Linked DNA regions of Tribolium castaneum. The main gene of each other region encodes a partner of the protein of the gene in region 2 in a complex. Links are inferred from orthologs where the notes say so. Each region holds a gene or a part of one and is shown on either strand. Other genes may lie near its edges. The genes, in order: UbcE2M and Uba3.

Region 1 (3,255 bases), on a different chromosome or scaffold from region 2:
TATAGGAGATGTAAGTGAGTAGTAAGTTTTTAATTTATTTGAAGGTTAAATAATCTAGGAAAAAAACTGTTATTCTTTTATGCAAACTCATCGTGATTTACATTTACAATATGCTCCCAAATATTTTTTTACACCTCATAACAGCATGGAGAAAAATATCTACTTTGACTAAGTCTCATTTAATTCGTAATAATTGTTGTGATGGATCATCAAAAATTAAATGTAATGACTGGTGCTTTTTAAAAGGAACTGATGTGATATAATATTATTTGCAGATAATATGCAAGAATAATTGCACAATAATTTTTATTTAACACAATTTTTTTCCTAAAATTAGATATAGGATCAAACAAACAATATTAATAAACGAAAAATACAAGCTTTTTAAATTAATGAATTATTGATTGATAACTAGAAAAGCCATTTCTCTGAAGTCGTCTGTAAAATGGTTACATTACAGACCATATTTATTTGGGTTCAAAATAGTCTCTAGAGTGTCGTACTTTTCAAAGCTCATAAAATGTGATAACTGATGACGTGATGAGTGATGAGACTTTGTGTGAAATGACTGCATTTCCAATTTTTTTTAAGAAACTTGGAAAATTATCAATTCAGAAAAGCACTAAATTTGTTTTTTACACTCAGATGAGTCAGATGGTTATCTCCTCTGCTATCTATCACTTTAGACAACAAACCCCATATTCATGAAAACTCAATTTTAATTTAAATATTACAATATTTTAGGCAAAATGCTAAAATATTTTTTAATTAATAATTTCGTAAAAAAATTAAAATTGCTCAAACCGTCGCGTCGTCTGCGTTGATAGTTGAATGACAATTAACGAAGACGACGCGACGGCTCAAACCCGTGGCCCAAACTTTGCAAAAGTTGCTCTGCGCGTCAAAATGTAGTACCGTATAAAATTTCAATAACGATGCTTTAAAATATTAGGGTTGGATTTATATTAACAAATAAATTAGAAATGTGTACACTTACCTTTGAGTAACTGCAAACATTCGTTTCAATGTTCATCTGTGGTCTGGTGGTCAACAAACTAATACACAAACTAAAAACACAATAACGAACAGTTCTAAAACGCTCCTAAACCGAAATAATTCGTTTCACAGAATAATTTTACGAATTTCAACAACTCAAGACGCGAAAAATCCGCAGAGGATGACAAACGCACCAGTAGTACCAATGTAATAACAACGGCACGAAATAAATTAATTTAAATAGCTTTGAACATAGTCTTCTGATGGTCTGCTTTATTGATTTGGATCTTTTGATTAAGTGCTTTGCAGAAAAATTCTTAGCATTAGCAATAAATGAATTTTTTAAATTTTTTCATTAAGAATTCGTTCCGATGGTAAAGTAAATTCCTGCATGTCCCATTGACAGTTTTGACATTGACAGATGTGTGAAAAATTCTCTTGCAAAAAGCAATCGAATAAACTCGACTTTCCCATGTTTTTGTAAAGTGTGCTCGCAGTAAATTACATTGCTCTGACCCCTCACCACCCCTGCGCCAGCCAAATATGATAAAACTATTCTCGCTGAAGCAACAGAAAAAAGATGGAGAAGCCTCACCGCGACCAGGAAATCAAAAGAAAGCCTCTGCAGCCCAGTTGAGGATTACGAAAGGTTGGTTGTGAGTCATTGCGCCCCCATTTTGACCCTCCCTTTGCAGATATCAACGAGCTGAACCTGCCCAAGACCTGCACGACGGAGTTTCCCGATCCGGACGACTTGCTGTCTTTCAAACTGGTGATTTGTCCGGATGAGGTTAGTTGTGGATTAGTGTGTGGGGTTGTGGTTAATTGGGGGGACGTTTAGGGTTTCTACAAGACAGGGAGGTTCGTATTCAGTTTCAAAGTGGGCCCCAATTACCCGCATGAGCCCCCCAAAGTCAAATGCGAGACACAGGTCTACCACCCCAACATCGACCAACAGGGCAACGTGTGCTTGAACATTTTAAGGGAGGATTGGAAGCCCGTACTGACTATCAACAGTATCGTCTATGGACTGCAGTATTTGTTCCTTGAACCCAATCCAGAGGATCCTTTGAACAAGGAAGCGGCTGAAGTGCTCACGACCAACAGGCGGCTGTTTGAGCAGAACGTCCAGAAGGCGATGCGTGGAGGGTATGTTGGCAGTACTTATTTCGACCGCTGTCTCAAGTGATTCTTATGTGTAAAGAACTTATTTATAAGTTTACTGTTTTATGCTCGTTGACGAGGACACTCGAGTGATTCTTGCATACCTAATTACTAATTTCGTTTATTAAAGCTACCACTATGTTGTTTTATTTGGCTTTTTCATCTCAATCGTTCTATTGTGATCATCATATCTCACTCCAGCGTAAAGCACCACAAAGCGGTGTGTTGTAATTTCTCCTCAGTGAAATGTAACTGATTTAATTAAGAAAATAGATAATTTTTCATAATAAAAATCTACAAAAATTCGAAGCAATTCTTTATTAAAATGCAATAACTTAACACCTTTCAGTATATTATAGAAATAATGTAATTTACTACATTGTCTTTCCCTAAAGAAGAAAACAAATGAGACAAAAGAGACACAGTCGAAAAATAATTACAATTACACGGAAAATAAACTTCCATTTAAATCTATATTAGGTAAATTTAAATCGTTTACATCCGTTTTTTTTTTGTTTAATAAAAAGGCACTTAATAAAAATTAAAAAAGATTAAATTACCAACTGTACATCATTTCACTGGTCTTAACAGTCAATTTTACATTCAGTCACAAAAATTTTACACACCACGTCACATATATTCATGACGGTTTTGGAGCGCCAAACTTAAAAGTTGTGGGTACTTCATGTTGTGTAAACATAAAACCTGGACAAACAAAATTAATTTGTTATTCCCCCAACACTATCATATAATTTTACCTCCCGATTGTTCAATTCTTTTACTTTCTTTGGCTGCTTTCCTCTGATCCGCTAACACACAAATATCTACCAAATTCTTCTTTTGTTGTTCGGTTAAATTGGCCGTGAGGGCATTATACCATTCAGGCTGACAACGTTCCAATCCTTGAAATTTTATTTTATAAATCTAAAAAATTGAACAATTAAACACGTTACTTACTAGTCATGACTTCTTTGAAAACATCGTATTCATCTACAGGACAATTTTCTTCATCTAATGGTGTTGTATAGGCTTCCAACATCGTTTCTTCATTCGGTTCGAAATCAGAATCGTCATCGTCGGACTCGTCATCAATGT
Region 2 (4,584 bases):
CCAGTTTTGAATTTATACTTCCACAAAACGTTTATTGTAACTTTGACGGGGGTTAAATGACCGGGGAATCACTTATGACTACGGTGTGATGCACGATTTTGGACCAAACCGCGGAAAATTATAAAAGTGGCCACCGATCAGGGGAATTTTTTTTTGGGGTGGCCAACTTGTGTGGAGAAACTCCCGGCAAAAACTAAATTTTAATATTTATTTATTCATTCTGATGGTTTTTATCTTCGCCGAGTCATATTTTCTGAGAAAAACGCCCTACGGCCGATTACGGCGAAGCTATAATAAGGCCTAAGTCAAAATTCCGACCAAATTTTAAGCAATAATACCAAAAAAAAGATATAAAGATATAAAGTGTTTTTTTCAATATCAAAATTGATAGAGTGGTTAGAACTTAAAAAAATCAAACAATAAACATTTCAAGGGCCAAAATAACCGTTAAAATGAAACAAAACCCAGTTTGTAATTTTCTTTATTAAAAATAAATAACACAATTACTTCATCTCAACATCGCTCGTTGCAAACTTAAGTGTGAAAACCAACGTCATGGGAGACGTAGCATCTGCGACCATGATATCCATGCCATCCTTAAGCCCCAACTCAACTAAAGTCTTATTTAAATTATCCCTGGTCCTCTCCTCTATACTCTTAATCGTGGAAATGTACAAAGTCTTATTTTTCCCATCAATAACCGTGGTTAAACCTGGATTTTTCATTTGAAACATCTCATCCTCACACAGGATTTTAATCAAATCCTTCAGCTTGACTTTACTCGGATCCTCAATCGGTAGAGTTTGCGGCACTTGGGAGCAAACCACACAATTGTCCCTCCGTTCCGCTGCGTAAGTGTAAGTGTAAATCCCGTCCACGTCATTGAAAACCATGTAATTATTCAACGGTAGACAACAACTCGTTGCGATTTTAAACACTTCTGTGGCGCAAACTCCGGCAATAACGGCGTTAGTTGACGCCACTGCTGGAATAATGTGCTTTACGACGCCTTGAACAAGGCGGTAAGTCACTCCAGGGATATTGAACTGGGACGCCCTTTCCAGGGACTTTTCGTAAACCCAGCCAATGTGCTGGGAGTCGTCTCCGTCCAGGGGCGCATTAAAGGGGTTCTCCTTGGGCCACAAAACCACCTTTACGTATTCAATGCAGTGTTCAGGCAGGCGGGGTGTGTTGGCGATTGTGCACAAAGGGTAGGTGATCTGAGGGGGGTACAAGTCAAGGGTGCACTCAACACAGGCGTTGTTGCCAGGGACTATGACGCGGGCGTTGCCCTTAAAACCCTCAGTACCTGGAAATAAATTATTACTCAATTATATATATTTTTTTAAATTTTGGCGCCACAGCACAGTTCAGATGGCGCTGTAAACAAGAAGAATTATTCGGAAATAAAATTAACTAGACGCCCTCTGGTGATGACTTTTGAACTATGTCGAAGACAGTAAAGAAATTTTCGTAATGCCACATTTAACTGACATTTAATGAATTGTTCAACAATTTTGCGTGTATAGTGTTAATTACTTACAATAGAAAGAATTACTTTAAAAGTACGTGGTGGTAAATACTAGCGTTGACTTTGGTTCTGTAGTTTTTCATGGTATAAAGTGTTTATTGTTGGAACTTGAAAGTGGATAAAAAGTGAAAAATATTTAAATTTTGATTACAAAGTGTTATCAAACAGTTGTCTAATTAAAGATTATAAGTAATAAATCACAGCGAACACAAAGTTTGGCTCAAGAAACCAATAAATTAGTGAAGTGTTATGAATTTTAGATTAGAATTTTCCACTGAAAAAATCATGAAATGCTGCAGTAAATGTACAAAACTACAATAAAGATTAACAACTGCTGATACATTTAAACGTAAATTATGCCAAAAGGTAGGTTTTTCAATGTCTTTGTAATAATTTTCCAATAAAGAAAGTGAACCAAACAGTCATTCGTTATTCGTGTTTTCCTCGTCATCTCTCATTTGTCAACATAAGTTTCTTGCATCAAAGATGCAATAATCATTCCGCATAGGCAATGGAATAATTGTGAAGCCCCAAAATTCGTACAACGCTCAAAATATCCGAATAAACATTTTCCCGCCATTTATGGTTACTGTTTTCGACCTAGCTCAGTGGCGCCCCCAACGGTAATTTTATTTCCGAATAGTTTGTTAGATAAAGATAAATGTCAATAAAAATATCAAAATGGAAAAAAAACTAAAATAACACAATTTTTTGTGAGAGAAATAACTTTAGCGTCTGAAACAAGAAGGCGCTGATATTTTGAAACAGCGCCATCTGCGAAAAAAGGCGCGTTTTTTGTCTCAGCCCCCACGTTTCGGCACAAACCTCCATCCACCAATGGAATAATGGTCGAATTATCCAGCACCCCATCCTCGTAGCTCAAGAGCGACAAAATCATGCCATTAATCCACCTCCTGGCCACGATCGAGTCCAACCCGCACACCATAATGTGAAAACTCCGATAAAAACTCTCATCGTAGTCTTGTATTTTGCAAAAATGGGGCGTCACCTGGCACCCAGGCACGCGCTTGTTGATGAAAGCCGCCGCCACTTTGGCCTTGGACTGCCCAATGTCCTTCTGTCTGAACAGAAACTGGCGGTTCAAATTCGACAAGTCGATCGTGTCCATGTCGATGACGTGGATCTGCTTGAACCCCATCAAAGCCAAGTCCTTCAACAGTTCGCAGCCCAGGCCCCCGGCCCCCACGACAAGCACCTTGCAGGAGGTTACGATAAAATCCATGATTTCGGGTGACGGCTCGAACTCCGGGTGGCAAAAGGGGCCCGGACGCTCCAGCACCTTGCGCAGGTGCCCCCAGCGCTTCTGTTCTTGCGTTTCGCTCATTTTTAACCGTTTTTAAAATTGGAACTGTCAGAAAGGAAGTGACTAACGCGCCAACTCGTTTAGTTATTTCACGCAAAAAGCCAGGCACAAAGGCAGGAATTTTAATTACGTACTAATTATGCACTGCAATTGGTGCTAATTATAATTATTATTCTCCTCAATGCCATAAAATAGTCGGAAATAAGTTAAAGATCGTAGCGTTAGCCACTTCGTGACGTAACAACGCGTTGATCGCTGTCAAACAAATGTCAAAAAAGTTACGTTGTGATTTATTGTTTTATTGAATTTTTTATTTAAAATCAGTACAAAATTGTTGGGTTTTTTATGTAATTCATTTATTATGACTGGAGAAACGGAAAGCAATGTTGGGAATTCTCTGTTGCCAGCAACCGGAGATAAAATAATTAATTTTGTGGATAACCGCTCTTGCAGCAAACCCTCAAAAAGGGTAAGATTTTTTTTAATTACTACTATTAGCCCGGTTTTGGGACGTTATCAGGTGTTACATGTGTGGTAGGTAATTAAATTGATTATTTAATGTAAATATTTAATCACAAATGGAAAACTGTCGTTATGTTATACAGAGTGGTCAAGAGTCACTGTTTGAGTTGGCAGGCCTGTGGTCACACTGGCTTGTTTGACGTTTGCAATGTCAACGTTTCAAATATCCACCTTTTGGTCGAAAACGGTGTTTTTAAATTAAACCACGTTTTTTTCTGAAAAAATCTTTTTACTCTTTTTTTATTCTTTTAATTTTTGAAAATTTTTTTTTGTTCAATTGTCAATATATTTTTTATTTTATTAAATTTATCGATTTGTATAAAAAACTGACTCGAGACCAATAAATTTGTAGATAGCAATGGTGTTACGGTAAAGCACGTTCAAAGTAGATTTCTATCTTCAAAATTACCCAACCTCTAATTTGACATGAATGATGTTTTTTATAATTAATGTAGTTATTTGCTCGTATTTTAGATGATTTCACACTTTTTTATCATTGTTTACAATTTTTAATAATTATTTTGGACTATGGAGAACTATATACTAGGAGGCGAAACAATGGAAAATAACTCGATTTTTTGTTCTAAAAATTTTGACCTCACGTTGTATTAAATGAATTAAAGTTAACTATAAATCACTAATTGCTTGAAAAATAAGCATTAAGTTTTTAATAATGGAACTAAAATTTTAACGAAAAATATATTTTTGAAAAAAAAATTGTCAATATATTTTTTATTTTATTAAATTTATTGATTTGTATAAAAAACTGACTCGAGACCAATAAATTTGTAGATAGTAATGGTGTTACGGTAAAGCACGTTCAAAGTAGATTTCTATCTTCAAAATTACCCAACTTCTGATTTGAAATGAATGAAGTTTTTTTTTATTAATGTAGTTATTTGCTCGTATTTTAGATGATTTCACACTTTTTTATCATTGTTTACAATTTTTAATAATTATTTTGGACTATGGAGAACTATATACTAGGAGGCGAAACAATGGAAAATAACTCGATTTTTTGTTCTAAAAATTTTGACCTCACCTTGTATTAAATGAATTAAAGTTAACTATAAATCACTAATTGCTTGAAAAATAAGCATTAAGTTTTTAATAATGGAACTAAAATTTTAACGAAAAATATATTTTTGAAAAAAAAATTGTCAATATATTTTTTATTTTTTTATTTGCTGATTTGTATAAAAAACTG

What was found.
Region 1: the proteins of Uba3 (region 2) and UbcE2M are in contact, whole or in part, in a crystal structure (PDB 2NVU), measured with the Homo sapiens proteins. The link is inferred for Tribolium castaneum from reciprocal best matches to the Homo sapiens genes UBA3 and UBE2M. Residues at the interface, in NP_003959.3 of Homo sapiens: His53, Pro54, Asp55, Glu61, Ser62, Phe65, Cys70, Gln149, Asn152, Asp153, Thr154, Arg157, Gln158, Phe159, His160, Ile170, Arg173, Trp174, Ser181, Leu182, Leu183, Asn184, Pro192, Ile195, Val196, Pro197, Leu214, Met217, Arg254, Met255; in NP_003960.1 of Homo sapiens: Lys3, Leu4, Phe5, Ser6, Leu7, Lys8, Gln9, Gln10, Lys11, Lys12, Glu15, Lys21, Gly22, Ser23, Ser24, Lys25, Lys26, Ala27, Gln31, Leu32, Gln35, Lys36, Ile38, Asn39, Glu40, Phe51, Ser52, Asp53, Pro54, Asp55.

Annotation. Positions count from the first base shown.
Region 1 is NC_087394.1:37,270,592-37,273,846, reverse strand, and holds UbcE2M (NEDD8-conjugating enzyme Ubc12), read left to right. Parts: upstream 1-1,367; 5' UTR 1,368-1,539; coding exon 1,540-1,645; intron 1,646-1,691; coding exon 1,692-1,786; intron 1,787-1,837; coding exon 1,838-2,185; 3' UTR 2,186-2,465; downstream 2,466-3,255. Other genes in the region: msk (importin-7), read right to left, coding at 2,801-2,865, 2,919-3,062, 3,118-3,255.
Region 2 is NC_087400.1:1,388,792-1,393,375, reverse strand, and holds Uba3 (nedd8-activating enzyme E1 catalytic subunit), read right to left. Parts: upstream 2,996-4,584; 5' UTR 2,877-2,995; coding exon 2,357-2,876; intron 1,310-2,356; coding exon 504-1,309; 3' UTR 466-503; downstream 1-465. Other genes in the region: coronin-2B, read left to right, coding at 3,217-3,324. UniProt on the Homo sapiens protein: Catalytic subunit of the dimeric UBA3-NAE1 E1 enzyme. E1 activates NEDD8 by first adenylating its C-terminal glycine residue with ATP, thereafter linking this residue to the side chain of the catalytic cysteine, yielding a NEDD8-UBA3 thioester and free AMP.